Notamacropus eugenii: one gene and its partners. The protein of the gene in region 3 interacts with the protein of the main gene of each other region in a pairwise test. Links are inferred from orthologs where the notes say so. Each region holds a gene or a part of one and is shown on either strand. Other genes may lie near its edges.

Evidence for each region.
Region 1: the proteins of CREB3 (region 3) and MFSD5 interact in a two-hybrid assay, tested with the Homo sapiens proteins (2 studies listed by BioGRID and IntAct). The two-hybrid records come from large-scale screens. The link is inferred for Notamacropus eugenii from reciprocal best matches to the Homo sapiens genes CREB3 and SLC61A1.
Region 2: the proteins of CREB3 (region 3) and APOD interact in binary tests that used the Homo sapiens proteins (3 or more experiments, as listed by UniProt). The two-hybrid records come from large-scale screens. The link is inferred for Notamacropus eugenii from reciprocal best matches to the Homo sapiens genes CREB3 and APOD.
Region 4: the proteins of CREB3 (region 3) and TSPAN2 interact in a two-hybrid assay, tested with the Homo sapiens proteins (2 studies listed by BioGRID and IntAct). The two-hybrid records come from large-scale screens. The link is inferred for Notamacropus eugenii from reciprocal best matches to the Homo sapiens genes CREB3 and TSPAN2.

Annotation. Positions count from the first base shown.
Region 1 is NC_092874.1:226,175,006-226,182,737, forward strand, and holds MFSD5 (molybdate-anion transporter), read left to right. Parts: upstream 1-4,834; 5' UTR 4,835-4,931; intron 4,932-5,100; exon of another isoform or gene 5,101-5,283; intron 5,284-5,599; 5' UTR 5,600-5,617; coding exon 5,618-6,970; 3' UTR 6,971-7,217; downstream 7,218-7,732. UniProt on the Homo sapiens protein: Mediates high-affinity intracellular uptake of the rare oligo-element molybdenum.
Region 2 is NC_092877.1:386,924,907-386,932,100, reverse strand, and holds the start of APOD (apolipoprotein D), read left to right. Parts: upstream 1-4,179; 5' UTR 4,180-4,320; coding exon 4,321-4,408; intron 4,409-4,845; exon of another isoform or gene 4,846-5,010; intron 5,011-7,194. UniProt on the Homo sapiens protein: APOD occurs in the macromolecular complex with lecithin-cholesterol acyltransferase. It is probably involved in the transport and binding of bilin. Appears to be able to transport a variety of ligands in a number of different contexts.
Region 3 is NC_092872.1:79,291,976-79,299,330, reverse strand, and holds the start of CREB3 (cyclic AMP-responsive element-binding protein 3), read right to left. Parts: upstream 3,004-7,355; 5' UTR 2,894-3,003; coding exon 2,843-2,893; intron 2,739-2,842; coding exon 2,601-2,738; intron 2,459-2,600; coding exon 2,290-2,458; intron 2,151-2,289; coding exon 2,080-2,150; intron 1,906-2,079; coding exon 1,813-1,905; intron 1-1,812. UniProt on the Homo sapiens protein: Endoplasmic reticulum (ER)-bound sequence-specific transcription factor that directly binds DNA and activates transcription. Plays a role in the unfolded protein response (UPR), promoting cell survival versus ER stress-induced apoptotic cell death.
Region 4 is NC_092873.1:294,400,229-294,408,047, forward strand, and holds the start of TSPAN2 (tetraspanin-2), read right to left. Parts: upstream 3,013-7,819; 5' UTR 2,944-3,012; coding exon 2,773-2,943; intron 1-2,772. UniProt on the Homo sapiens protein: May play a role in signalling in oligodendrocytes in the early stages of their terminal differentiation into myelin-forming glia and may also function in stabilizing the mature sheath.

The DNA of each region.
Region 1 (7,732 bases), on a different chromosome or scaffold from region 3:
ATGGACTTCTCTCTGGGCTTGCGCTTGGGGCCTCAGGGCAAGAAGGCTCTCCCCAGACAGTCCCCCAATTCTTCTGCTCACTGTCCCCCTTCTTCCTGTCCCTGCCCCTTCTGTCCTCCTCCTGCCTGCCCTTGTTCTCCCTACCCTTTCTTTGTCTGCCCTTCCTGTCCTTCTGCCTGCCTTTGTCCTGCCTGCCCCTATCTCCCCTGCCCATCCTGTGCCTATCCACCCTTAGCCTGCTCTCACACCCCCTGCCCTGCTTGTTCACCCTGCACATGCCCTGATTTCTGCAGTCTTTGCCCTGCCTGTCCCCATCCTCCCTGCCCTAGCCACCCCTCTACCTGTTCCCATCCCACCCCTGGCCCCACCTGTCCCTCCTTTAGGGGCCAGGGAACCCGTCCTTGCTCCCGTTGTTGCTATGGCAACAACTACAGCTGTTATGCTCAGGGTCCCAGCCCCCCTGCCAGCTGCTGCAGCTGTTGTTGCAAGGGTCTCCAGCTCTCTGGGGGTTGTTGTTCAATGGCTTAGGTTGGCTTTTGTTCCTTTGTGGAGTTTGTCCTCCTCCCAAAATTCTTCCCACTGCTATTGCTGCCTCTCCCTCTCTAAGTCTCCCTTCCTGGAATCCCCTCAACCTGGGGTGGTCTAGGCAGCCACTCCCACCTGGAGGGACAGAGAGGCTTGGCTGTTCCATTGGGCCAACTGGGAACTACTTGGTAGCCCAAGGACCATTCTCATCGTCATGAGAACTTCATCATCTGCAACTTCTAGGGGCCAAAAACATTTTTCCCCCCTAGGTTAATGAACTTTCTCAGCTGTACTAGTCTTGGGGTGAGAATCTTCTTAGTATCTCTCACTGGAACAAGAGACTTCTATACAGGTAAGAGAAACTTTATTCATTTGAGAGAGTTGGAGGATATTTTGTTTATACTTCACACCACTCACTCCGACCAAAATCCCTGAGAGCCCTCAAGGGACTAGAACCCTGGTGCTCTGTTGTCCAGACTGGCCCATCTCCTGGGATTGGAAAAAGAGACTTAAGTTGTGATTTTTAACCCCCTTCCCTCAGATCTCTCTCCCTTCCTAAGGCTCACCTTTGTGTGATGTTCTCTCTCTGCCTACCACTATCTTTATGTCTTTCTGACTGTCTCTCTTCGTAGATGTTTCTGTATTTAGGTATCTCCCTAGTCCCATGACCTCAATCCCTTACTCCCCTCCCTCCCACTCCAGGTAATCTCATAAGTGATGTTCTTGCCCATCTGGTCTAAGTGGGGAGTGGAAATCCGGGAGAGGAGAACATCACGTGGTTCTTTCCAACACTTCTTTCCACTTTGTTTTTCCCAAATACACTTGCTTCCAGTCACTCTCTTTCTAACCTACCTTTGGCCCTAGGGGAAGGCAAACAGCATCCCATAAAGACGTTAGAGTTCAGATCTAATGGTCTAATACTTCTGAGGGGCAGAAGGCAAGAGTCTTCTTTCCTCACTCTACGTTTCTCTTCCAAACTGTCTCTGGGCCATTGTGTATTTGTCTCCGGGCCATTGTGTATTTGTCTCCCCCCAAGTCCTTGGCACTGTGACTTTTCACCTGTCTCACAGTCCTTCCCTCAGTATATCTTCCCTCTGTCTTTCTGCCTCTCATGCTGACTCCGGGACATTTTATCCTTTTCCATCTCTCTGCCTCTCTCCCTGTGTCAGGCTAAACTCTACTCTGTTTCTTCTGTCTCAATTTCCTCTCCTGTTTCTATATTTTGGTTTTCCCCTTTCCACCATCTTAATCACCCATCTCCTCTGTCTTTCCCCTCTTTATTTCACTGTCCCTATCTTCACCTCCATTTTTGCTTTCTTCTGAAACTTGCCTTTGTATTTCTGCTACCCCCTCCCACCCCTCCACCCATTTTTCGGGTCAGTTTTGGTTTTTTCCATTACTCTTTTTATTTTCCCTTCTGCCTTTGTCTTTTTTTTTATCTCTATCATCCCCTCCATCTTTTTCTCTCTTATCTCTCTCTTCTGCCTGTCTTTACCCTTTTTTCTTTCTCCTTGGGTCCTGCATCTCACTTGGACAACATAAGTGTTTCCTGTTCTGCCAGGACCCGAACGTCTCCTCTATTTGTGCCATGCTCATTCCTGAAATATTCCATTTGAAGATTTCCATTTCCCCACTAAGGAAAGGGAAGAAGAATTGTCAAAACAGTTCCCAGAATTCCTCCCCAAACTGAGGAGCCAGGACACCCTGCCTCAGATACATAACAAAGAGGTCCTGGTGAGGGGAATTTGGAGGTGTGGGGCTCTCAGCCTTTATCCCCTCCAAATCCTTTTGGTTAGACTGGTTAATTTGTAAAACCCTGGGGTTTCTTCCCAAGTATGGTTTAGTCAAAGCTCTTAAGAGCCAGCAAAATCCCAAGGAATGGTTTTGTTCAGAATGGGCCAATAATAAAAATAAATACAGATGATAATTTGTTATTGTTCAGTCGTGTCTGACCGAACCCCATTTGGGGATTTTTTGGCAAAGATACTGGAATGGTTTGTCATTTCCTTCTTCAGCTCATTTTACAGGTGAGGAAACTGAGGCAAAGAGGATTAAGTGACTTGCCCAGGGTCACACAGCTAATAAGGGTCTGAGGTTAAATTTGAACTCAGGTCTTCCTGATTCCAGGCCCAGTGCTCTACCCATTGTACCACCTAGCAGCTTAGATAATTATTACACAGGTAATTTTACCTATGTATTTTCCCCCATTTAACAGGTGATTTGAATTTTACACTATTCAAAATAAGGAATAAAACATTCCCCTTCTTTGGAGGAAGAGTCATAGACCATGTTGTACTTCTCCTTATATTTCTATGTAGCATGATCCCATTATGTACAAGAGAAAAGCTCAAAAGGAAGAAAAATCTCATTCAGTCATGGGGAGGTAATGCAAAGCTAAGTGGCAGAACATTCAGGTAGGGTGACCTTGGGGACATCACTGCATTCGTCTGGGCCTGTTGTTCCAGCTGAAAAATAAGGAGAATGATCACTTCCTATCTCTCAGATGATGAAAGGACCAGTAAGATGCTACAGATGAAGAAGTTTGGATTGAAATTCTTGTTTTTACTGTTATAGTAGAGAAAACTTATAATAGACATTTAAGATAACATTTTTAAGGTTTGCAAAGGGTTTTAAGGCATTATTTCAGTTGGCATAGAAGGTATTACAATATTGTTCCTATTTTACAGATGAAAAAACTGAGGCTCAGATTGATTATGTGACTTACCCATAGTCATGCTAAGGAGGATGTGTCTTGATTCCAAGGCTAGTGTTTTTTCCACACTTGCCCTCTACCACCAGCCTCTCCATCTGCAGCCTCAGCCCTAAATGGAGGTCTGTTCAAAAGGAATCGCACATGACTAGATTATAGTAGGATGTTAGATGAGTCCCTTTCGACAAGCATCTTAACTACCTGGCCCATTCCTGCATTCTCCAGCTGTGGTAGAATGTTGTAGTACATATGAGGGAGGGGGTGGGGGTGGGCATGTGGATTTAGTTGGCTTCCCTCAATTCAAATTCCAAGATAATCTTGGGTAACTCACTTAGAATCATAAGGTTATATATTATTTTATATTATAATGGGTAGAGGGGGTGGGAAGGGGAAGCAGAAATACAGAAAATAATACAATACATAATCATAGTCTTAGAGACAATCTAGTCCAATTCCATCATCTTAGAAAGAAATAAACAGAAGCCTAGGAAATTTAAGTGACTTGCCTAAGATCACACAGATAGGGTGAAATGAGATTTGAACTCAAGTCCTCAGACTCCAAATTCAATGTTCTTTCAACTGGACTTTAATTTCTTCATGTGCAAAATCAGGCAAAGGTCTTATTAGCTGATCTTCCACGTCCCAGCTCCACGAAGCACCAAGACTTATAGAAACAGCTTCCAGAAATTCGAAGGTAGGCCCAGCCTGGTCAAAAGCAGCTGTGCAGTATCATGATTTTCAAAGCTCATCTAAGCCAAAGCCCTCCTTTTACACACAAGGAAACTGAGGCCAACATAGTGGAAGTGCCATCCTTCACCCTAAAGCCAGACTAGCCAAAGCTAGGTGTGAGAGTAGAGAGAATGGCTGGAGTGAGGAGGACCCGTGTTCAAATCCAGCTGCAGACACTAAGGCTTGCGGTAAAGATGAAATGTGCAAAGTGCCTTGCAAACCTTAAAGCACAGTATAAAGGCTAGCTGTTGGACAGGGCTGGATAGCCAGCGCAGGTGCCCGCTGAATCTACCCCGCCCCCCCCCGCCCCCCGGTGGTGAGGACTAGATGATGGGGAAGTTTGTACGGTGCCTTTGCAAGCTAGCCATATATGAGACAGTATTATTACTGCACATGATCCTAACAACAATCCTACACACACACACACACACACACACACACACACACACACACACACACACACACACACACACACACACACACACACACACACACACACACACACTCTCCTATTACTCCCATTTTACAGAGCCGGACACGAGGCTGAGAGCGAGGAAGGGACTTGCCCAGGACCCTACGGGTACATTTCTGCCTCCAAGCCCCGCAGCAGCCCCGTCTCGGGAGCGGAGGCAAAGCGCCTTAAAAGTTATCAGCAAGAGGGTTACGGGAGGCGGGGGGGGGGGCGGAGAGTTGGAAGAGGGTGGAGGGGCAAGTGGGAGGAAGAGGAGGAAAAGGAGGAGGAAGGAGAGAGAGGAAGGAGGGGAGCAGAAAGGGTAGGAGAAGGAAGTGGGAGAAGGGGAAGGAGGAGGAGGAGGAGAAAGAAGGGGGAAAGGGAGGGAAGGGGGAGGGGGAGGAGGCAAAGGCCGGGCTTTCTCGGACCCAGGTCCCCTGCCTGGAGGATGCAGCGTTCCGGCCACCCCGCCTCGGGGCCCGCGCGGAGCAGAGGGAGCTGCCCAGCCCCGCAGAGGTGAGCCGGGGCCGCTCCTCGCCTTCCCAGTCCAGGCGTCCGGGTGCGTGCCAGGGGTGGGGACCAGGAGCGCCGAAGGCAGGAAGGAAGGAGGAGGGAGGAGGGAGGAGGAGGGTGAAGGGAGGGGGAGGAGGAGAGGAGAGGAGGCCCCGCCCCTCTCTTCTCCCTCGCCCTCCCCCGCCTGAGCTGGGACCTCGTCACGTGACGGGGCTGTCATGGCGGGGCCCACGGCGGCCTCAGGCCAGCCGGGCTCCCGGAAGCGAAGCGAGGGGCGGAGGCTTCAGCTGGAGCCGGAGTGGGGCGGGCGGGAGCCGGACGCGACCGGGAGCGTCCCCGCAGACCGGGGCAGCAGGTGAGAGCGGGGGAGAGAGCAGAACAGGGCCAGGGGAACGCGGCGAAGGGCGAGCCCGGGCTAGGGAGCCGCGCGCGTGGGGGGCTCGTGGGGACAGGGCGGGGATCCCGGGAGGAGGAGAGCCGGGGATGGGGTTTGAGCGTGGGGAGCCGCGGAAGCTGGGCTGCCCCGAGCAGGGATCCCGAGTGTCCCTGGACCCGGGACACCGGCCTGCCTGGTCCCTCCGGCCGGGGCTCTGGGGGACCGCGGGGAGCGTCGTCGGGTGAGGGCATGGAGCTGCGCCCTGCCCGCCCTTACCTTTCGCCCTCTTCCCCAGGTCAGCCCGGGCCCCGCCATGCTGGTGACGGCCTACCTCGCCCTGGCCCTAGTGCTGGCCGCCTGCCTGGGGCTGGAGCTGTCCGGATGCAGGGCCAAGGCCCCGGGCAGGGCTTGCTGCAACCCTTCCTTCCTCCGATTCCAGCTAGACTTCTACCAGGTCTATTTCCTGGCGCTGGCGGCGGACTGGCTCCAAGCTCCTTACCTCTATAAACTCTACCAACATTACCACTTCTTGGAGGGCCAGATCGCCATCCTCTATGTCTGCGGCTTGGCCTCCACCGTCCTCTTTGGCCTAGTGGCCTCCTCCCTCGTGGACTGGCTGGGCAGAAAGAAGTCTTGTGTCCTCTTCTCCCTCACCTACTCCCTTTGCTGCATGACCAAGCTCTCCCAGGACTACTTCATACTGCTTGTGGGCCGGGCTTTAGGTGGACTGTCCACAGCCCTGCTCTTTTCAGCTTTTGAGTCATGGTACATTCATGAACATGTTGCACGGCATGATTTCCCTCCTGAGTGGATCCCTGCCACCTTTGCCCGGGCTGCTTTTTGGAACCATGCACTGGCTGTAGCAGCTGGCGTGGCAGCGGAGGTTGTGGCTAGCTGGCTAGGTCTTGGACCCGTGGCTCCCTTTGTCGCTGCCATTCCCCTCCTCGCTCTGGCTGGCATCTTGGCCCTCTGCAACTGGGGCGAGAACTATGACCGACAGCGAGCATTCTTGAAGACCTGTGGAGGGGGTCTTCGCTGCCTCCTGTCCGACCGACGGGTGCTGCTGCTAGGTACCATTCAAGCCCTGTTTGAAAGTGTTGTGTTCATCTTCATCTTCCTCTGGACACCCGTCCTGGATCCTCATGGAGCACCGCTAGGCATCGTCTTCTCCAGTTTTATGTCAGCCAGCCTGCTAGGCTCTTCCTTATATCGAATAGCGACCTCCAAGAGGTACCACCTCCAACCCATGCACTTGTTATCCCTTGCTGTCCTCATTGTTGTCTTCTCCCTCTTCATGTTGACTTTCTCCACCAGTCCAGGCCAAGAGAGCCCAGTGGAGTCATTTGTTGCCTTCCTGCTCATAGAGCTGGCCTGTGGTTTGTACTTTCCCAGTATGAGCTTCCTACGAAGAAAAGTAATCCCTGAGATGGAACAGGCAGGAGTGCTTAACTGGTTCCGGGTCCCCTTGCATCTGCTGGCCTGCTTAGGGCTCCTGGTCCTCCATGACAGTGATCGAAAAACAGGTACCCGGAACATGTTCAGCATCTGCTCAGCTGTCATGGTCATGGCCCTGCTTGCTGTGGTGGGACTCTTCACTGTTGTGAGGCATGATGCTGAGTTGAGGGTGCCACCACCTGCTGGGGAGCCCTGTGCCCCTGAGCTCTGACCTAGACCTGGGGACAGACTGAACTGTTGAATCCCACCCCCAGGGGGTGTATATGTCTCCCTTTTGCCCCTGAATTGTCATCTCTTTGGCCACATGGGTTGTGCTTGCCCTGCCAAATGCTGTGGGCAGGGAGGAATGGAGGGGTGAAATAGATTTGAAAATCAAGGTGCTGGAAAGGGCCCCTGTGTTATTTCTCATCAAGACAAAAGAACCTGTTTTAAAATAAACTCTTTGAGTTGAATGCCAATTTGATTTTTCTTCCCCTCCTTTCTAGTTGGTCCAACCTTAATAGTAATTGGTAAGTAGAGATTTTCTTGTAGGAGGCAAGACTATATAATACATCATCCAGAGATGGGGGGTGGGGGAGCAGGTGGAGTAGAATCTCTTGAGGTTCTAAAGAGGAGAAACACTGCTTAATGATCTGAAAGGAACAAATCAGTGAGGTCAGGAATCCCCTTGGCCGCTTCACCTCTCCATCTGCTTGAAGTTAATCTCCCTAGCTGTCAAGTCAAGTCCATGCCCTATTGCTCAGGTTAGAGGATCAAGGTAGGCTAGATAAATTCCCAGGATGCCAGGCCACTAACTAGGCAATCTTTCTCAGAGACCAAGAGCTTTATTGTGTTATCAATAATTTGGCAATTCAATCAGTAAGCATTGGTTAAATACTATGTGCTATGGCCTAGCAGCATGGCACTGTGTCATGTATGAGAGATGTAAAGACAAAAGTGAAACAAAAGGCTTATGTTCTTGGGTATGTTTATA
Region 2 (7,194 bases), on a different chromosome or scaffold from region 3:
CTCTCCCCTGATTGTGCCACCTTGGAGGAACTGAGAACTTACAGATCCCTAGAGTATACCTTCCACTTGACAAAGAACTCAAAAGTCAAGTAACTAACTGGGAAAATGCCTAAAAAAGGAGGGAAAATAAGACTATAGAAGGCTACTTGCTTGGTGAAAAGGTATTTTCTTCCATCCTTTTGGATGAGAAAGAACAAAGCAGGCCATCAGAGGAAGACATCAAAGTCAAGGCTTCTGCATCCAAAACTTCCAAAAAAGTAAGCAATGGTCTCAGGCCATGGAAGAGCTCAAGAAGGAATCTGAAAATCAAGTAGGAGAGGTGGAGGAAAAACTGGGAAGAGAAATGAGAGCAAAGCAAGGAAATCATGGAAAAATGAATCAACAGCTTGCTAAAGGAGACCCCCCCCAAAAAAAAATGCTGAAGAAAATGACACCTTTAAAAATAGACTAACCCGCTCATCCAACCATTCTGGAGAGCAGTTTGGAACTATGCCCAGAGGGCTACAAAAATGTGCACACCCTTTGACCCAGCAATACCGCTTCTAGGACTGTATCCCCAAGAGATCACAAAAATGGGAAAGGGTCCCACATGTACAAAAATATTTATAGCATCTCTCTTTGTAGTTACCAAAAACTGGAAGTCAAGGGGATGCCCATCAGTTGGGGGATGGCTGAATAAATTATGGTATATGAATGTAATGGAGTTCTATTGTGCCATAAGAAATGATGAACAAGAAGACTTCAGAGAGGCCTGGAAGGACTTATATGATCTGATGCTGAGTGAAAGGAGCAGAACCAGGAGAACTTTGTGCACAGCAGCAACCACAGTGTGCGAGAGTTTGTTCTGGTAGACTTGGAATTTCATAATAACGCAAGAACTTATTAAAAAAAAATCCCAGTGGTGGTTTTCTAAGGCAAAATGCCTTCCACACTCAGAGAAAGAAATATGGCAGTCATTTGCAGAATGTAGCAGATCATGTTTGTGTGTGTGTGTGTTTTTGTGTATCACGTTTTGATTTGTTATATGATTTCTTCCATTTATTTTAGTTTGACTACATAGCATGACTATAGTGAAAATGTACTCAATAGGAAAGTATATGTAGAACCTATACAGAATTGTATGCTGTCATGGGGAGGGAGGGGGGTAGTGGGAGGTAAGCGTGGGGGGGATAAAATCTCAATTGTATGGCAGTGATTGTAAAACATTAAAAAATAATAATAATTAAATTAAATTTAAAAAAATAGACTAACCCAACTGGCAAAAGAGGTCCAAAAAGCCAATGAGGAGAAGAATGCTTTAAAAAGCAGAATTAGCCAAATGGAAAAGGAGGTTCAAAAGCTCACTGAAGAAAATAGTTCTTTAAAAATTAGAATGGAACAGATGGAGACTAATGACTTTATGAGAAAGCAAGAAATCACAAAACAAAACCAAAAGAATGAAAAAATAGAAGACAATATGAAATATCTCATTGGAAAAACAGCTGACCTGGAAAATAGATCCAGGAGAGATAATCTAAAATTATTGGTCTACCTGAAATCCATGTTGAAACAAAGAGCCTAGACATCATCTTCTAAGAAGTCATCAAGGAAAACTGCCCTGATCTTCTAGAATCAGAGAATAAAATAGAAATAGAAAGAATTCACCAATCACCTTCTGAACAAGATCCCCAAAGGAAAACTCCTAGGAACATTGTGGCCAAATTCCAGGGTTTCCAGGTCTAGGAGAAAATATTACAAGCAGCCAGAAAGAAACAATTCAAGTATTTTAGAAATTCAAATATTGTGGAAATCAGGATAGCACAGGATTTAGCAGCTTCTACACTAATGGATCAAAGGGCTTGGATATGATATTCCAGAGGTCAAAGGAGACAGGATTAAAACCAAGAATAGCCTACCAGCAAAACTAAGTATAATACTTCAGGGGAAAAAATGGAATTTCAATGAAATAGAGGACTTCCAAGCCTGCCTGTTGAAAACACCAGACCTGAATAGGAAATTTGACTTTCAAATACAAGAATCAAGAGAAACATGAAAAGTTAAACAGGAAAGAGAAGCCTTAAGGACCTCTTTAAAGTCTAACTGTTTACATTTCTACATGGAAATATGCTATTTGTAACTCATGAGACCTTTTTCAGTGTTAGGGTAGTTAGAGGGAATATATATATACATATATATATGTATATATATACACATATATGTATATATATGTGTGTGTTTGTGTGTATGTGTATGTGTGTGTATTATATATGTGTAGATATGTATATGTACATGGGTGTATGTATATATATGTATATATAGACAGAGGACATAGGGTGAGCTGAATTGAGGGAGTATGTCTAAACAAAATAAAATTTACTGTTGAATGGAATGTACTAGGAGTAAGAGGAAGGGAGAGGTAGAATGTAGCAAATCATCTCACATAAAAGAGGGAAGGGGGGGAGATGAAAGGAAATAATTGAGCCTTATTCTCAGGGGATTTGCTTTAAGGAGGAATAACACACTCAATTGGATATGGAAATCTATTATACTCTGCAGGAAGGCAAGGAGGAAGGGGATAGAAGAGGGAAGATAATAGAAGGGACAGCAAATTGGGAAAAGGGATAATCAGAAGCAAACACTATTGTGGGAGGACGGGTCAAGGGAGAGAATGGAATGAATGGAGGCCAGGACAGAACAGAGGGAAATGTGGCTAGTCTTTCACATCCTAACTATTACGGGAGTGCTTTGCGTTGTTACACATGTATGACCTATATTGAACTGCTTGTTTTCTTAATAAGGGTGGGTGGGGAGGGAGGGAGAGAATATGGAACTCAAGGCTTTAAGAATGAATGTTAAAATTTGCTTTAGCATATAACTGGAAATGAAGCTATACAGGCAATGGAGTATAGAAATCTATTTTGCCCTACAGGAAGATAGAGGGGAAGGGGGATTGAAGAAGGGTGGGTAATAGAAGGGAGGACAGACTGGAGGAAGGGGGGGGGTGAGGAGAGATGGGGAGAAAATTTTGAATTCAAATTCCTGTGGAAGTGAATGTTAAGAACTGAAAATAAATAGATTATATATTAAAAAACCCCAAAAAACAAACAAACAAAATAATTGAGAAGGGTCCTCCCAAGGAGGAGGAAAGGAGGGGAACACAGGATGCATTGAAAAAGGGGACTCTGAGAAGGAGCTTCATCAGTTGACCATACCCATTAATCAGAACTGTACTGGCAGGGGCACCCAAAGCAGGTAGGGATGGCTCATAAGGAAGTTGCTGGAAAGGCCTTAAGTTGGTCAGTACAACTGGTGACACAGATGTGTGGCCAGTCATGCCTGGCTCTCCCCAGGGGGCTCAGCAGGGGAGTGTACTCATCTTTGGCCAGTTTGCCCTCGAGATGCTGGGAAACAGCTGTCATCATGTTGATCAACCAAGAACCATTTATGAAGCATCTACTGTGTACCTGCTGGCACCAGGTGAAGTCCCCAGGTCTTTTCCTGCCCGGTCAAGCCTCCTCAGATCCTTCAACCAATCCCCCTCACCCGGAGGATGTCACAGTGATGAAGTACCCCCAAGATTACTGTGTCTGTTTTCAGATAAAGAAAGTGAGACCCAGAGAAGGGAAGGAAGTCAGCAAGTCAGGTGTCAAAGCCAAGGCTTGAAACCAGGTGATGATAATGACGATGAAGATGGTAACAGCTAATGTATAGGTAGTATTTGTGTATATTTACATGGAGAAAGACAGAGAAATGGAAAGAGAGAGAGAGAGAGAGAGAGGGAGAGAGAGAGAGAGAGAGGAGGGAGAGAGAGAGAGAGGAGGGAGAGAGGGAGAGAGAGGGAGAGAGAGAGGGAGGAAGGGGTTTGCCTTTTCCCAGGGTCACATGGGAAGTCCCTTGTGTAGACTTGAAGATATATCTACACAGCACGCATATGTCTATACAACACCACCTCGTCACCGTCCCATGATGCCGGCTCTTTGTTCATCCAACGAGGGTTTCATTGCTGTTCTTAGGAATTCAGCAGAAGTGGAAAACAAATCCCAGGTGTCCAAAAACAATGAAATCATCTTTCATCACCGTCCGGAGATTTGGAGCCAGCCCCAGGCCTCATATTGGGAGAATGAAATGGGAGGGCCTGTCACCAGATGGGAAGACTTTGTGTTGGCAGCCCTGGAGAGCAAGCGGTCCACAGAGCAGTCCTTTGTTTTCCCTCCAGGAAACAGCTGTGAGAATGAAAGGGGGAGCCAGAAGAAAGGCCCTGTTCTGGGGCACACACAGATCTGAGAGGAGGGAGCTAGAGCACCCAGGGGAAGGAGGGGATCTGACAGAGCTTATAAAAGCATGGAGCAGAGCCGGCTCTGGGACCAACTTCTTCAGCCTGAGCACTTAGCCAGCGCCCTCCAGGACCAGCCTGAGGATCACAGAAAAGGTACGCCTTTGTGAATGGGATCGACAAGCAGGGAAGCAGGAGAAACTGAGGCACTGTTCCTGCAGGAGGCTTTAGCCTCCCTCTCCCTTCCCAAGAGACTGTCACAGCCATAATTCTAGTTAGGCACAGGGATCCCTGGGTCCTGGCTGGACTGTTCGGGTCATCCAGACCACTGTTAGGATGAGGACGAGAATCAGAGCTTGGGGAGAAAAGCTGTGGTTCTGTGTGAGGACACAGGGATCTTTAATGCCTATGATACAGAGCAAAGTCTGCAACCCAAAGGGTCCCAGCTCAGGAGTCAGAGGTCCAGGTTTCACATTCCACCGTTGACATCTGTTGCCTGTGTGACCCAGAGCACGGCAGCCAGTCAGTAGATAAGTATTTAGCTAGCCCAAACTGTGGGCTGGGGTGCACAAAAGAGAGTCCCTGCCCTCAGAGACTTCAGAGCTCACACTCTGAAAGGAGGAGGAAACACACAGCTGCAAAGAGGATGGAGGGAGAGAATCCCCAGAGGAAAGGTGCTGGAATGAAGAGATGGGGAAGGGAGGCTTCCTGTAGAAGAGGATTTTAGTTGGGAGCTGAAGGAAAGCAGGGCACCAGAGGTGAGGAGGGAGAGCATTCGGGGCATGGGAACCAGCCACAGAAAATGCCAGGAACCCAGATGGCACTTCTGGTTTGTGGAAGAACCCTGAGGGCAGGGTCTCTGGTCCGATAGTGATGCCCATAGCATGCGGTGCCAGGAAACTGCAAAGGGGGAAGTGAGCTTATGAGGAAAGAATTTTCCATGTGATCCTGAAGATAACAGGAAGCCCCTGGAGTTTATGGAGGAGAGGAGGAACACGGTCAGAACTGGGCTTTAGGAAAATCCACCAAAGGTGGCTGAATGGAGAAGGGGCTGGAGGGAGGGCTATGGGGCAGGCAGACCCCCCTCCAGCAGTGGATGTGAAGGGAGGAGGGTCTACACCAGGACCGGGTAGGGGCAGAGGAGAGGAGGGGGTGCACTGAAGGGGAATCCTGGCAATAGCTCGCATGTGGGGATCCCAGGACAGGAGGGCAGGAGCAGGGACGTTTGGGGCATGTGGGGCATCTACAGGGCATCTGAGCCAAGATGCCTGAAAGGAAGCTGGAGATGTGAGTCTGGAGATGCAGGAAGAGAAGTAGATTGAGGAGTCATTTGGGGTTTCCTTTCGTCTCGCTGTCTTCTTGTCTAAAACCTGACCTCTGACCTCAGCACTTCACAGAAGTTATTCTCTCCAAAGTGATCCGTGATCTTTTGGCAGCTAGGAGGCGCCATAGTGCACAGAGCACTTGGAGTCAGAAGGTCTTGAGTTCAAATTCAGCCTCAGACACTTACTAGCTCTATGACCCTGGTACCCTGTTTCCTCCCTCACTTGTACAATGAGCTGGAGAAGGAAATGGCAAACCACTCCAGTATCTTTGCCCAGAAAACTCCAAATGGGGTCCCGAAGAGTCAGAAAGGACTGGACAACAAACACAGAGATGATAATTAAATCCATGAGCACTGATGAGATCACCAAGTGAAGAAACAGAGAGAGGCGTGACCTGGATGAAGAGCCAGCCAAGGAGACAGAGGAGAAGGAAGGGTCAGGCTGGCAGGAGGAGAACAAGAGAGGGAGGAGGGGAGTGATCACTAGCATCCAAGGCTCCTAGAGAGGTCAAGAAGGAAGGGGACTGAGAAAAGGCCACTGAGAGCTCATGATCCCTCTAGGAGGAATGAGGAGGTCTGGAGCGGGGCTTAGACAGCTAAGCAGAGAGAAAAGGAGGGCAGCGAGTGGGGCTGACTTCAGAGGTTTTAGCCACCAAACAGAGCAGAGAATAGGCAGGTGGCTGGCAGGGACAAAAGGACCGAAGGAGGGCTTTTTGGAGGATGGGGGAGACATGGACAGTTCATGGGGAGTAGGGAAAGAGCTGGCAGAGGAATCTTCTCCCTGGGCCTTGCAGTCCTGGGCCCCACTCCCTCTGGCCCTGCTTAGACACACCTAACCCTCTCCCCACCAGGCTCTGAGACCCTGCAAGCATGGCCTTACCTTGTTCTGGAAATACTCAGCTTGTGGCAGGGGGAGAGCCCATTAGAGGGATCCATTTACATTGAGGAAGCTGGGAGGCCAGGAAGGGCAGCATCTTCAGGTAATGGGGCCGCCCTCTGCATAGGGTGCACACCCAAAGAGCTGGCTGTGTAGAGACTGTTGGCTTGTTGGTCCCCATGAGCTCCCTCAGGCCTGGCACTGTCTTTTGTCTCTTTCTGTATACCCTGCCTGGCACTTAATAAATGTTGATTGACTGTGTAAAGGAGGCAGAGAGGTCAGCGCTTGCAGGGACTCCCCTCCACCCCTGTCCCAGAGCTTTATCCTGCTCTGGCCAGAACAAACGGCCTGTGTCTGGGGAAGGCAGGAATGCAGCCCTGCTCAGGCCCTCTTGGGGCACTGGGTTCTGCTCTGGGCCTCACCAGTTTGGGGGAATGTCGATGAGTTAGAGAGCATCCAGAGGAGGGTGCCCGGGATGGGGGCCTCAGTCGAAGCACCTGGGCTTGCTTGGCCTGGAAAAGAGGAGACAAGGGAGTGGGGAGCTGTGAAGGTGCTGACCAAGGTCCGTGACCCTTCAGGAGACCTGGCCTTTTTGTAAAGCTCTCCACAGATCTGATTATGGCCATTTTCCTGGTAGAAACCCTGAGGCTCCAAATGACCTCCCAGCTAGGAAGTCCAGGTCTCTCCACTTGGCCACACAGCCTCTGGTTGGACCAATGATTCCACAGCAATATCTACTGA
Region 3 (7,355 bases):
TCTGCCACACTCCGAATAAATGGGACATCCAATCTTTGAAGACATGACAGGACATACTAACTCTCAAAGCAGCTTGTACTACATTTGGACAATATACCATTAGAAAGTTCTTAACTTAAATCAGAATCTGGTAAATGTCATCTGTTGGTTTAATTCTATTGCCTGGGACCAAGAACAAAAAAGAATCCCTCCAGCTAATGACTGTCCAAATGTGTAAAGACAAGCTGTTATTCATCTATACACACACCAGCTTCCCAATGGCCTTCCTAAACTATGGTTCTTAGATCTGAAGATGATGTCTTCTAAATGTGCCCTGGTCAGGGCAAAAGGACATGAGGACTAATAATGCAACTTTGGATCACTGGCTTTTTTTTTTCTGATTTGTCACACTTTTGACTTACATTGAGCTTGCTAAAATACCCAAGTCCTTTTCACGTAAACTACTATTTTATGTCAGAGGCCTATTCATTGAATGGGTGTATCTCACTCAGAGTGAGAATGTGATAAGACCTTGGCTTAAAAAGGTCAAGGTCTCACACTGCATTCTGAGCCATCTCCAGTCATCCTGATGAATATCTGGTCACTGGACCCAGATGACTCAGGAGAAGAAAGTGAGGCTGGTGACCTTGCCCAGCCCTCCCTCACTCAAATCAAAGTCAAGTGCAAGTCATGTCATCATCTTGATGTCATGGTCCTCTTTGAGAACGAAGGACAAACAACTATTTTATATATCTCCCATCCTAAATTCACGAGGTTGATTTCTTTGAGCCCAAGTGTAAGACTACATTTATTTCTATTAAATTTCATCATCTTAAACTAGGCCTGCTGAAACTATTTAGGTTATTGATCTAAAGACTAGCCCCCTGCTAATAATATTAGCTATCCCTCCATCACTGAAAATTTTGTCAAGAGGTCATCTGTGCCTTCACGATATTGAACAAAAAGGCCAAGGAGACAGCATCCGAGCACTCCACTGGAGTTTTCCCTCCAAGCTGAGTTCATTCCAAATTTACCTATCTGTACTATTGTATCTGGTTCTATCTCCCCACCTTATCTAAAAGGCTATCAAATGCCATGCTGAAATCTAGATATCGTGTCCAAATCATTATTCTGATCTACCCATCAAAGGAAATGAGTCTAGTCTGGTCATCATATTCTTAATAAACCCATAATGACTCAGCCTAACCATGGGATTTTTCCATCTGACTAGCAGCTGAAAGCTTCCGTATGTGTTGTCTCCTCTATTCAAAAGGTGAATTTCTCGAAAGCAGGGGCCATCTTCCATTTGTACCTCCAGCACTTATTTAATCATTCTTTCATTCATACGTACTGATCATCACTTTTAGATTCAGTTTAACAGCAAATGCTATAGCCACCCTATTCATCAACAAGCATTTATAAAGTGTTCACTATGCTCCAGGCGCTGTGCTTCCTTTTGGAGGATACTATACTTTTATTAATGCTTCCCAGAATGTCTTAGTTTTTTTTTTAGAAACCACTTCACCGTGCTGTTTCATATTGAAGCAATCAGCTAAAATCATCAAGTCTTTTTCACAGCAATTGTTAAGAAACATCTCCCCCTTTCCTATATTTGTGCAATTGTCCTCTTGAACTTACTTGGAGTTGCCATTTCTAAGTTTAATCATATTAGCTTGGGCACGTTGTTTCTGTTGAGGTATTTTGAAATGTGATTCGGACATCTGGAACATTAGCTATCCCAGGTTTGTTGCCCATAAATTTGAAAAGCAGACCTTTTATGGCCATCCTCAAATGGTACCAGGCATGATACCCGTGACCATGAAGGAGTCTCACCTTAGTAAGGGGGAGAGTCTCAGGAAGGGTCAACCCTTCTTTCTGTAGCAGCCTCTTCTCTTCATCTGTCAGTATCAACTGAGGAAACTCGTGCTGGAGAAAACAGGAAAATGACATGTGACAGGGAGGGACCAAGGAGTAAATAAAGTGGGAAGAAGACATCTGGAGCTTGAGGAGAGAGAAGTGTGGGGTTGATCAAAGCATCCTGATATTATCAGAGGTGATCATCTCCCCCTTACTATTAATGTTTGCCCCTCCTCCAGATACCTGCAGTGTCATTTCTTCCATCTGCAAGGAGACCCTTGATTCTTGAGCCACATCTCTGAGACCATCATCATCTGCAGGAGGAAAATAATTAGAACCAAGAGCCCTGGGCTCCTAGTTTCATCCCCCTTTCCATGTCCCTCCCTCAGAATCCTCTTTCTGCCTTCCCAGTCACTACCTACCCGCATACATGATTCCCCTTTCCCAGCTTACCCAGGTCAATGTAGACATCATCTTGGGAGGAACCTTGTACATTCCAGCTCAGAGAGTAAGTGTGATCAGTGTGAATGAAGCTGTAGCTAGGAGGACTTGGGAGGGATGGTGAGGTGGGGGGTCCCAGCAGAGACATCAGGAATTCTTCTGCTTCCCACTCATTCAGCACCTATACAGCCACTTAGTTCAGAAGCAGGCCTTGCTCCTCTCCTCCCAGCTTCCTGTCCCAACTCTCCTTGGAATCTCTCCTCTTCATTTATAGCACCACCATTACCCCAACCAAGGCTAAGCCTGGCCCAGCCCCTACTCACCTCAGGAGGCAGCATCCCATCATCCTGCTGGTCCTCTTCCCTCTCCCCAAGGATTTCCCATAGATCTCCCCCTTCCTCCTTCAGGAAATCCAGCAGGTCGTTGTCACCTGGGTCCAGGACAGGCTCCATGGTGGACATCTAGAAGAAGGAGAAGGAATCACCATCCGCATCCTGATCCTCTTTTCCCCTCCAAAGGGTAGAAGGTGAAAGGCGGTCAGTCAACATTCATATTAAGCCCTTACAATATGCCGAGCACAGAGAATACAAAGAAAAGCAAAAGCCGTCCCTGCCATGGAGGAGCTCTGTCTGTTCTCTCCGGCCCCCCATCATAGAGCCCCAGAGGGGGGACGTTGGAAGCAGAGGGCCAGGGTCGGCCCGGCCCTGCCCCGGCCCCAGCCCCCCCCCCCCACACACACACACCCCGCCCCCCAAAGCAGAGAGCACCGGCACGCCCTCCCACCTACCCTGGAGGGCTGGAATGGCCACTTCTCCGCCTCCTCGGCCAGGTTTCCAACCCCACCCCTCGTCTGCTCCCTTCCACCTCTACGCGAACTGGCCAAATTTGGGGTTCTACTTCCCCTCGGGCCGTCTCTCCCCAGCCCGGACAGCCTCTCCCAAACCCGACCCAGCTCCAGCCTTCCAACACCACAAAAATGACGTCAGCCAGAAGGCCGCGGCATGCTGGGAGATGTAGTTCCCCCACGCCCGCCCGGATGTAGCCCGCACTCCGACTGCTGTCATGTATCCCCGAGCCTCGTACCCCTCGCCAGGCTTTCCGTTCCTGAGGTCGATCGGTCCCGCTCTGTGCACACGCAATGAGTTTTCTTTGTTCGTTTAGGTTTTATTGATGCCTTTCGTTTCCTGACAGCCACCAGCCCCCTCCATTGAACACAGGCGGGGAGCAAACACCACGTTCCGCACCCGTGGCCCCTCACCTCTGCACCAACAGAAAGTGCGGTCGCGACGTGAATCGGCGGTCAGGTACTTTCGAGGTGGTTTACAAAGGTGTGAGTGACGACGTGTTCGCTGTCCCCGTGACCACCCACGCACGCCCTTCGCAGACCGCTGAGAGCGCCCCTCCCTGCCTCTGTCACACACACACAGGGGCTTCCCGCTGGCCTCCCTGTCCGCGCGTGTCCCCAACTTTCCCGAGCCCACGCGAAGGGCGTGAGCGACCCCCACGAGCATCAGAGGGCAGGCGGGGCCCTTCCCTGGGGCGGAGGGCGGAAGGGGGAGCTCCCGGGTCTGCTGGGGAGACTCACACATGACACATGCCCTGCAGACGGAGGGGCTCGGTCAGGCCGGGAAGTCTCGGGGAAACAGGTGGGTCCGCTTTCGTCCGCCGGGCTCTCCGCGGGTCTGGGGCTGAGGAGGGGGCGAGAGGCGGGCTTCCCGCGGGGCGCGCCTCCCGGGCCCCGCCCCCCCGCCAGGGAGGCCCCGCCCCCCCGCCAGAGCAGCCCGCAGCACAGCGAGACGGGGCGGAGTGCGCCTCGGGTCCGCTAGGCTGCGCGCGGTAACGGAGCCGCGGCCCGCGCCGCGCATGCGCCGCCCTCGCTGCAGGGGAAGTTGCCCGGGTCTCCGGGCCGGCTCCCAGGCATAGAGAGCGGGGGCCAGAGCAGCTTCCTGCAGCAGCCAGGGCCGTAGAGGGGCGGGCCCAGGGCGCCGCCCACGGGTGGGGGGGACGCGCTCCGGGGACGGAAGTGGCGGAGAGTTCGTCAGTCGGCGGGAGGGCGAGGCCGGACCCCGGACCCGGGAACCTGGAGAGCGAACGAGTGAGTGACCTGGAGGGCGGGCCAACGAGCGAGAGGTCCCCGCACGGCCCAGGTAGGGCCGAGGCGGTGCCGAGCGCGGGGCGGGACCAGGAAGGACGGGACGGCGGCGGGAAGGGGCAGGGCCGGGCGGGGGGAGGGGACTGGATCCGGGGGAGGGGGCCCGGCCGCGGCGGAGGGTGGGGGGGGGGAGGGGGAGGGGGGAAGGCAGGGGTCGAGCGGAGGCCGCAGCCTCGGTCCGCAGCCAGGGCGGTCAGGGTGGGCGCCGCCGCCGGCTCCCTCCTTGGCCCGAGAGGTCAGGGTCCGGGTGTGTCCATCCTGCTTGTCCAGCTGCTTGGCGGGCGGAGTTGTGGTACCCGGGATGCTGGGGGGCGACAGTTATGGGGTAGCGGGGCGAGGCTGACGGGCCTGGGCTGTAAAGCTGGGGTTCGGGAATAGGGGGGAGCGGATCGTGGGGACGGGGGAGGTGAGGCGGGCCAGGACGGGGGACCCGGCTGGGCTTAGCGGGGTGGGGTGGGGCAGATCGGGAGGGCTCCAAGGCCGGGTGGGAGGGTGTTCGCTGGTCCGGGCTGCGGGGTCCGGAGCCGGGATGGCGTGCCTGGGTTTGGCGTTGGCCGGGTAGGTTCGGAGATGCAGGCTCAGGTGCGCCCCAGGTTTGGGGGAAGTTCGAGTTAAATGGGGTTGGAATTTGGAGCCGAGTATCCGATGGACGTTGGAGGTGTCCTGAGGATAACAGGAGAGATGTGCTGGCCCTTACTGGTTATTGAGATTGTGGGGCGACAAGTATGGAAGCGCTTCTTCTTGCCGGGTGCTGTGACAAGCCCTGGAGGCACAGAAAAAGGCGAAAACAGCGTCCCCGCCCGAAAGGAGCTCGAAGTATGATAGGGGAGACAGCGTGCAGACGTCTGTGTGCGGGCAAAATAGTGCGGAGTGATGGAGGATAATCTCAGAGCGAGGCATTGTGCAGTGAGAGGGCAAGCAGGTGGGATTTGAGCTGAGGCTTGAAGGAAATCAGGGCAACCTGGTTAAGATTTAGGCTCATGACAAATAGGCAAGCTCTACACTCAGGATTTTTGTTTTTTAGATCACTGTTAGAATACAGAGGGCAAGTTACGGCTAATATTAGGGATAGCATCAGGATTCACAGGTTTGGATAGTCAGGATTAGTTTGTGGGTCAGTGTTGGGGATTGTAGGATCATAGGTTTAGAATTGGAAAGGGTTAGTCAGGAATCAAATTAAAAGTCAGGGGTAGCACTTGAGTTTCGGGTCTGCATTACGGATGAATTTATCTTCCAAGAATCAAATTAGGCTTCAGGGATTAGGAATGGCATTGGTGTTTGTGGAGGGCGGTTAGCCAACCATGAGTCAACTAGCACTTGATAAGTGCTTGCTGTGTGCCAGACTTTGTGCAATGAAAAATACAAAGAAATGCAAAAAAGAAAATCTAGTTCCTGCCCTCAAGGAGCTTACATTCTGAGGAGGAAGCTTCATGAAATAAGTACCTAAAGAAGATATATAGAGTGAGTAGGAAGACCTCTGAGAGGGGAGATTACTAGCAGCTAGGGGAATCTGGAAAGGCCTACACCACAAAATGGAATTTGAGCTGAATTTTGAAGAAAATAGAGAAAACTTAAGAGTTGGAGGTAAGCAGATAGAGCATTCCAGGCTTGGGGAACAACCAGTGAAAAGGCAAGGAAACTGGAGAACAGCTAGGAGACCAGGCTAGCTGCGTGGTAGAGTTCACAGAGAAAAGACTGAAAAGGTAAAAACTCTAAATGCCAAATAGAGTTTAGATTTGATCAGGGATCCAAAAATTGGGATCATTGTTAGGATGAAAGGATGTGAGTAAGGGTTAAGGATAGACGTCAGTAGTCAGTGATTGGTTCAGGCATCATTGGTAGGCCATTGGGAATATCTACTAAATAATGATTTTCCACTTAGGGTCAGTGTTTGAAGTCGTTAATGTTAAGGAGATGAGAGTTAAAGGTCAGTGATTTTTTTCAGAGTCAGCATTAGGGTTCAGGAATTGGGTTGAATGTTTTGGTTAGTCATAGGTTAGCATTAGATTTAAATGGTTAGGAATCAGAAAGAGAGTTAGCTATTTGGACTAGGCTAGAAATAAGTCCAAAGGTTTAGGATTAAGGGTCAGGGTAAGAGTGAGTCAATGATCAGATCAGAATCAGTATTGAAGTTCAGGGATTAAATTCTGAACTCAGGCTTAGGATCATGGTCAGTTTGAAAGATCGTGGCCTACAGCAGTGCCTCAATCACGAATTGAGTTTAATTCCCCTAATTTAGACCATTTGTCCTCATTTCATTTGTAGTTATCAGAGCATCAAGATCCCCTTTGAGTGGGGAACTGTTGCTCCAGACTCTTACTTCTAGTTTCTGACTTAGTGTCCATGGTAACAGGGTTTCAGATTCTAGCAAAAGGCCATTCCATACCCAAAGTCAGTGGTTTCAGTGCTTCCCAAGTGGTGTGAGGGATAGAATGGGAAGTATTTGGTGGCACGGAAAGGGCAAGGACTCATTGCCTTCTTATTTGGAAAAGTATTACCAATTTGTCTGTGGGGTGGGGAGTAGGTTGGTCAGCCCTGAGGTAATAAAAAATGAGGTATGTTTGAGAATGGCTTTGTGCCCAGAAAGTTCAACCCCATTTTTCCCTCATTCCTTAGTCACTTAATTCCCATCCCCCTCCCTTGGGCCTGACTAGGCAAGAGGGTGGGAGATTATGACTTCCTGCTTTTCACATCCTCCTTGACCACCACCACTCCACCCCACCCCCATGTCTGTGTATCTATTTTTTTTGTTTATTTTTTTTTTAAGCAAAAATTCCCACCAACTTAACTTCCCCCTGGGTCCCTTACCATCTGCTGAGTCCCTCAATCCTGGATATGCTCTGAGCTCCCCTACTCTTTCAATTTGGCAATTCCCCAGTTATGAGCTTCTTCCAGTTCCCTGGTCGGCTCATAGATCTTCCTCCTC
Region 4 (7,819 bases), on a different chromosome or scaffold from region 3:
AAGGCCAAAGAGAGTCGTGAATGGATGGCAATCTGTACTTTTGGAGAGAGTTTCCACATCAAGAATACAGACCCATTAAAATACTGTAGAACAAGGCAGACCAAGTCAGGCTTATTAGCTAAGGGACAGAGTACAGATTTTTCCCAAGATGCAGCTAATTCAAGTCATTAACCAGCCTTCCTGTCAAAAGCCGTGCTATATTTATTCTCCCTTTTGTGATTTCGCTCATCATGTTCTCTCCTCTTTCCCCCCTCCCACCTGGCAATGTCCTTTGCAGTCGTTTATCCAGTTCCTACTGAACCCTCAAAGGGCCTGGTGCAGGGCATGAAATGTTGGACTTGGAGTCAGGAAGACCTGAGTTCAAATCCAATTTCAGATACTTACTAGCTGTGTGACCCTGGGCAAGTAACTTCACCCCTGTTTACCTTGGTTTCCTCATCTGTAAAATGGGGATGATAGTAGGACCTACCTACCTGCCTTCCTGTTCTGAGGATAAAATATTTATGAAGCATTTTGTGAACCTTAAAATAGTCCACAAATGCTACTATTATTATTATTTTGTTACTGTTAACAATAATAATTCTTCCATGAAACCTTTTCCTGACTACTTTAAAAGCACATTGAAAGGGAAGTCAGGAAACCTCACCCAGTAACTGTTCGGATCTTTGAAAAGTCATTTCTTTCTCCCTTCTGGGCTTGATTTTCTGTACATCAAGTTAGGAGACTGGCCTAGATTCAACAATTCAAAAGACATTTATCAGACCCAAACTACGTATAAGACAGCATGGCACAGTGGACTCCCTACCATGTACTCCTCTATCCTAGCGGCACTGGCCTCTTCTCTGTGCTATGAAAAAGACACTCCATCTCTTGGCTCCAGGCATTTTCACTGGCTGTCCCCCATTCCTGGAATGTTCTCCCTCCCCATTTCCACCTAGTGAATTCCCTGGCTTCTTTTAAGTCTCCACTAAAATCCAGTCATCTACAGAAACCCTTTCCCAACTCCTCTTAATTCTAGTGCCTTCTCTCTGTTCATTATTTCCTATTTATCTTATACGGGCAGCTAGATGGGGCAGTGGATAGAGCACTAGGCTTGGAATCAGGAAGGTTTATGTTCATGAGTTCAAATTCAGCCTCATATATTTACAAACTCTGTGACCCTGGGCAAGTCACTCAACTCTTAATCTCAGTTCCTCAGCTATAAAATGAGTAGGAGAAGGAAATGGTAAACCATTCCAGCATCTCTGCCAAAAAAATCCCAAATGGAGTCACACAGAATTGGACGTGTTATCTCGTATATAGTTGGTTTGTAAATTTTAGCTTGTTTTTTCTCCCATCAGATTGTTGGCTCCTTGAGGGCAGGGACTCTCTTTTGTCTTTTTTTTCTATCCCTAGTGCTTAGCCACAGTGTCTAGCACATAGGAGGAGATTAATAAATGTTGACTTATTGCCTCTGGCACATTCTAGCTATGAGACCATGGGTACTATTTAACCATACCCAACAACTCTTGAAGACAAGTCAAGAGAGGAGTTTTTGATCTGCATTTGAGGAGGAATTTCTATACCTGGGAGTTCCCTACATTTATGAAATTACAAATTTGACCCTCTCCCCAAATGTGCAAAGCACTGTTGGGGATTCAAAGATGAAAAACAACAGTTCAAATCCTCAAGGAGCTTATTATTCAATAGTTGGGGATAAGACATGTATGCAGACAAGCAATAAATATAGTGAGAGTAGGATCAGGTCAGAGTCAAAATCCAGACCAAAGTGTGGACACTTGAGGGAGGATCATAGGACCCAGATCTATAGTTGGAAAGCACCTTAGTCCAACCTCTAAGTAGGCTGGAGGAGATAGGCCAAGATAGGTTAAGTGCCTCCACCAGACAGAAAGGAGAGAGGTCAGGATTTGAATTCAGTGCCTGAGACTCCTTTTCTACCCCAATACATTGCCTCTACACTACGTTTAGATCCAGCATGCTATGAATCTATATTCCAACAGTGCAAGATCTCTTTTTGTCTAATCCTTAGCATGCAAGCCCATACCACACAATTTTCTATTCATTTATAAACTGTATGGTGTTATTAATTTTATTGTTTTTCTCACATAACCTTTTTTTTTTTTAACAAAACATTCACAAAATCCTTAAAGGCAGGAAGTGTTTTATTCTTTACTTACCTGCCTTTGAGGTATTCTGGTGGGGTAACTATAGTGACAGACCTAGAAGTCAGGAAACCTTAGGTTCAAGTCAGGACTCAGACACATAAACTGTGTGACAGTGGACAAATCACTTAAGTTTTCAGTGCTCCCCGATTACTGTCTAAGTCTAACATAAAGAGAAGTTGCCCAACTTTATTTCTACATCAGAGCACAAATGTTCCCTACAGTGACTGAATTTGGTCAGGAACAAAAAAAACAAACCCCTCTGCGAGATCAAAAACCAATTCTAGCCATATAATTGGTACTCTGTAAATATAAATTAATAAACTTTTTTTTTGTAGCAGATTTACCTTCCTAATTATACTCTTTCCAGGCAGATTTTAAAATTAATTTGTTTTTATGAAGAGAAGGAGAAAGATGGTCCAGAAAAGGTTTGCAATTGAGATTAAAAATATATAGCAGACAATCTAGAGTGGATAATTTGCATCTGGATAATTAAGGATTGACAACACATTTCACATGAAAATTTTAAAAATCTGGAATTTTGTGTCCTGATAAGCATTTATTCATAAGATAAACTCATTGAAAATACCTCAACTGGCAGAAATCATACCTTTGACATATTAGGACATATCAGCCCAGTTACATGCTTCTCTTCCAAACCTGCTGCTGCTGCTGGAGACTCTTGCTGAAGGCAGCCTGAGCCAAGGGAGAATGCGGTCTTCTGGGAATGACTTTGCTTTGGCAGATGCAAGTGCAGACTGCCCCACTCCCAGGGGTCCATTTAGTAATCAGTGACAATTGGGAGAGGAAGGTCTTTCTAAAACTGAACAGCTTCCTTAAACCAGAAAAAATGCTTTCCCTCCATACCTTCCTTGAAGACAGGGCAGCTTCAATGACTCAGGTCACTGCTGTCCCATTCCTATCTCAGAAGAATAACTTAAATGATTTAGTACTTTAGTGCTTATAAGACACTTTCTTCCCAACAGTCTTGTTAGGTCGGTCCTACAGATATTATTATCTCCATTTTTTATATACGAGGAAACTGATGCTTAAAATGTCACCATCACAAGTAGTTTGGAAATGTCAGAACCAAAATTCAAACCCGCATCTCCTAACTCTGGACTCACGGTTCTTTTTTTCTATATCACTACTGTCTCTCAGAAAAAACAAACAAAATGAAAAACAGCCCTCACCCCCAATAGATAGCCTGTTGTCCTTTGGAGCAGTCCCTCTACACAATGGAAATTTACGTCTTGTGGTAAACCCTAAAAAGAGTTGCTAAGAAAGAGAGAGAAAACATTTAGACCCTATTTTGATTCCTCCAAGATGTAGGCAATGGGGGAATGAGAGATCTAAGAAGGGTCTTGTCTTAATCATGCCTGCGAGAGTTTGAAATACCCAAGGCATCATGACCCTCTGTCGGAGACCCAGTGCCTCCACCTATGAAGTGGGAACCATATTTGGTTCTTGCTCCTCCTATTGTCAATATAATAAACTCCTTCAGAGTTGGATGAGATCATCTCTGAGAATCAAAAGGTGCTGGGTACATTGGAGGATTTCGAGAGACCTAGTTGGCTGCTGGGACAAGACTGTTTACCTTGGGAAAACCCCCTTACACAAGCCTCTGGTCCCCAGCCAGCACTTCCTCCTCCCTTCTCTGAACCTGGCTCTACGGTGAACCAATGTTCCCCTGCACTGCACTCCCCCTCCCCAAAACAAAAGATTTCCCTCCAGATTTGGTTCTGGTTTTTTATGTTGTCTCTCAAAGGGGCATTCTGCACCTGCCTGGACCCTCCTGGCCCCTTGATCAGACCCAGGCTCCGGAGAGGAGGAAAAGCTGGCAAGAAGAAACTGACAAGCAGGTTAGAGGATGGGAGGGGTGGAGGGTCTGATGAAGGGAGAAAATCCACACCAGGTGAGGAGAAGCAGGTGGTGCCCCATTCAGCCAGAACTGCCTGGAGGACTGAGGAGGAATGGGGGAGCGTTTAGATAGAGGCAGGAAGGGATCCCTGCCCCAGAATGAAGCCTATTTAAAATTTCTCTCATTCCATTCCCCAACGTTTCTGTCTAGCCCGTTTGCCTCTTCTTTACGCCTCTCCATCACTCTCCCTCTGGTTCTCTCCTTCTCTTTGTGTCTCTGACTCTTATATCCCCTTTAGGTTCGCGCACATACACATACATACATGCACACATATACAGGCATGCACACACACTTGCACACACACACGCCCCTTCCTCCCCCATTCCCTCCCCCCCACTGTCACTCTCGATCCCACGCCCCCCCGGACCCGGACTCAGAACTGCAGTCCCTCCTTCCCTCCCTTCCTCCCTGGGGAGCCCCCCTCATTCGTCCTGCTCCCCTCAGCCTTGGAGCGCCCACTCCGCTCCCCTCTTGGGGCTCACCCAGAAGAGCAGGTTGAAGGCTAGCAGCATGTACTTGATGCAGCGCAGGCCCCCGAGGACGCGCCCCATCCTGCGGCCCCGGCAGCAGCGGGATCCCGAGTCCCCAGGCCGGGCTCCGAGCTCCGAGCTCAGCTGGAGCCCCGCGGGGAGGGGGCGGGGCCACGGGGAGGGCGGGGCGCCGGGGAGGCGAGGGGTGGGGAAGGGGGCGCTGTGCTTGTAGAGGGAGGGAAAGGAGAGCTTGGACAGGGAACAGGAGAGGGGTTTGGAGAGAGAGGAGGGGGACAGGAGGGCGTAGGAGAGTGATGGAGAGAAGGAGGGGCGTGGATCCGGGGAGAGGAGAGCTCCGGGAAGGGTTTGGGGGCTAGAATTAGCGAGGGTTACGCTCCCTCCGTGTTTGTGGTGACAGACTAGATATTTCCATAACCCGCGCTCTATGTATGAAGTGCTTCCTTGGACACCCCATCAGTGATAAAGGGAGCTTTTGGCAAGAAAAAGCCTCCGAGGGGATCTTTTTGATCAAGAGCTGTTAGCCTCATTAATCTGTAGGAGAAATTGACTGCATCCGCAGGGCTTGACTATACCAGAGGAAGGTAGTTTCGGTTAGCAAAGGACAGTCAGTTCAAGCATTTATTAGGTATCTGCTCCAGGCCAGGTACGGGGGGGATTCGGTCAAAAATGAAAGCTCCTGCCTTCAAAGAACTTACATTCTTTTGGGAGTAAGTACCATGTACATACACAGCATACACAAAATAAAAGACCTGTGATTTCATTGGTATATGGCAATCCTAGGAGAAGAAATTTCGACTTCCAAGGCAAATCAGTCCTTTATCCGCAGCTTAGTCTTACAAAAAGTTAGGAAGAATAGTGAGAGGTTCGGATCCTTGCCCAGGGGTCAGAAAGTAAGTATTGTGTCAAAGGTGGGACTTGAACCATCAACAGGGCTTTGAGATCAAACTGGCTACATAAGACAGTCACATAAAGAAAGTATAATGTAGTTTTGGCAATGATGTCCCAGGAACTGGTGGGGATTGGGTAATGTGCTTGAGACTAGGGTTAAAAGGAAAAACCATCTCTGATTTCAGGGAACTTATATTCTACTGGGTGAATATATCTAAACGGATACATGCATACATATGTACATACATAAATACGTACATCATATAGAGCTCGAAGGTTTGCCAATCACTTTACAAATATGATCTCATTTTATCTTCACAACCACTGAGAGGTAGGTGTATTATTGTCCCCACTTTATAGATGAGGAAATCAAGGCAGAGGTGAAATTACTTTTCTGGGGTCATACAGCTAGAAAGTTTCTGAGGCTGGATTTGAGCTCATGCCTTCCTGACTGTAGTTCTACTACTTTTCCACTTCAACACCCAGTTGTCTCCTATCTGTGATAATTTGAGGAAGATGAGAGGGTACAGGAACAACGAAGGAGGATAGTGCAAGGTTTTCTGTAGGAGAGAGCATGAGCTGAGTCTTGAACGGAGCTAGAGATCCTGGAAGATGGAGGTGAGGAGGGAGTACATTTTAGGTACAGGAGACAATTTATGAAAAGTTGATATGGAGTACCTAGTTCAGGGAGCAGCCCTAGTCTTATTGCTCTAAAGAAACCTCTCTAAAGCAGGCAGGGAATGGCTCCAGGATGCCAAGACACTCAGTAGTTTCTGTGGGGCATAAAGTGCTGGGAGTTCACTTTTGCTTCCCCTCCTCCTCCAAGAAGAGTAAGACTCATGTCTCATCCCACAAAGAACAATTTCTCTAGGGAGAATGTACTGGGAGGAGCAGGATTCCCCCCCTCCCACCCATCCCCCCATTTTCCAAAGAAAAATCCTTACCTTAATAGGCATGAAGTCCAGAGACAGCAGGAAGACAGCTGCCAGGAGGATCCCAGCTGCGGTCACCACATTAGCTGAGCTTGCCAGCTAAGTTTGTAGAGTGGGAGGGCTGACACCAGGTCTGGACTCCTATTAAAAGTCTGCTAACGGGTGGTTTTGAAAAAAAAGAATTCAAATCATCAAGGGCCTTATAGAGATCTGAACAAAGAAGACTGAAGCTTCTGGGAAAGGGTATTCTGCTAACTAGTAGTGAGAAGACTAAACTCCAAAGGCCCTTAGACACCATCCAATCCACTCTCTTCATTTTTAAGATTAAAAAAGTGAGAATCAGAAAGGTTAAGTATTTTTTCCAAAGTCACACAAATAAGTAGATATGAATCAGGATCTGAACCCAGAGCAGGGGTGGGGAACTTTTGACCTCGGGGTACATGTAGTGACCCTCTAGGTTCTCAAGTGCAGCTCTTTGACCGAATCCTTTTGAAGGGCAGCATTTGAGGACCTAGAGGACCACATGTGGCTTCGAGGCTGAAGGTTGCCCACCCCGGACTAGATTCTCTGATTCCAATCCATCCACCAGTGTTTGCTGAATACCTGTGATGTCAAAAAGTGTGTTGATTACTGTGCAGAAAACCAGAGACAAGTAGAATCACAGAGTTGGAAAGGACCTCAGAGGAAATCTAATCCAAATAGTAACTGAAGAATTAATCCCTTCTGCAACACACAGGACAAGGTGGGAAGCCTTTATTGTCTAATGTTACTCTAATTCTTAGGAAATGTTTCCAGACACCAAGCTTAATTTCTATCCCTCAAAGGGGTTACAGAGTACACTATAGTGTATCATTTGTGGGTAGGGAGTAGGGGTGTGATGGTAGTAATACAGGACATAAAAACAGAAAAAACTATGTAACAATTCAAGGTAGTATCAAGTAGAATCATCAATCATCTCATACATTTCCTTACAGTTGCTTTTGCCCTGCCTCCCACCTAAGGCTAAGGCTTCCCCACCAGGACATGAGATGTCTTTTGGATTTCCATTGGAAAGGGGTGTGACTGGGAGGAAGAATATGCAGTAGAGCAGAGATGTCAAACATAGGTGGCCCCAAATATTAGCCGCAACACTCCGGAATGGGGCAAAACTAAATTAAAATGCAACTGGGAAATATTTAACAAGATAAAAAAACCATAATAACATTATATTCTAAAGCGAAGTCAATATGTGGCCTGCAGGGATCCACATAAACAGGTTAGTGGCCCCCATTCCCATTTGAATTTCACACCACTTTATTAGAATATCAGTTAAATAGGCAATTCCTAAGGAACTTTCTCTGGGAAGCCTAAATAAAATCATTTTTCTTAAAGTCATCAGTCTCTGAATCTTATGGAGTAAGAGTAATACGGATTTCTTTGTTATGA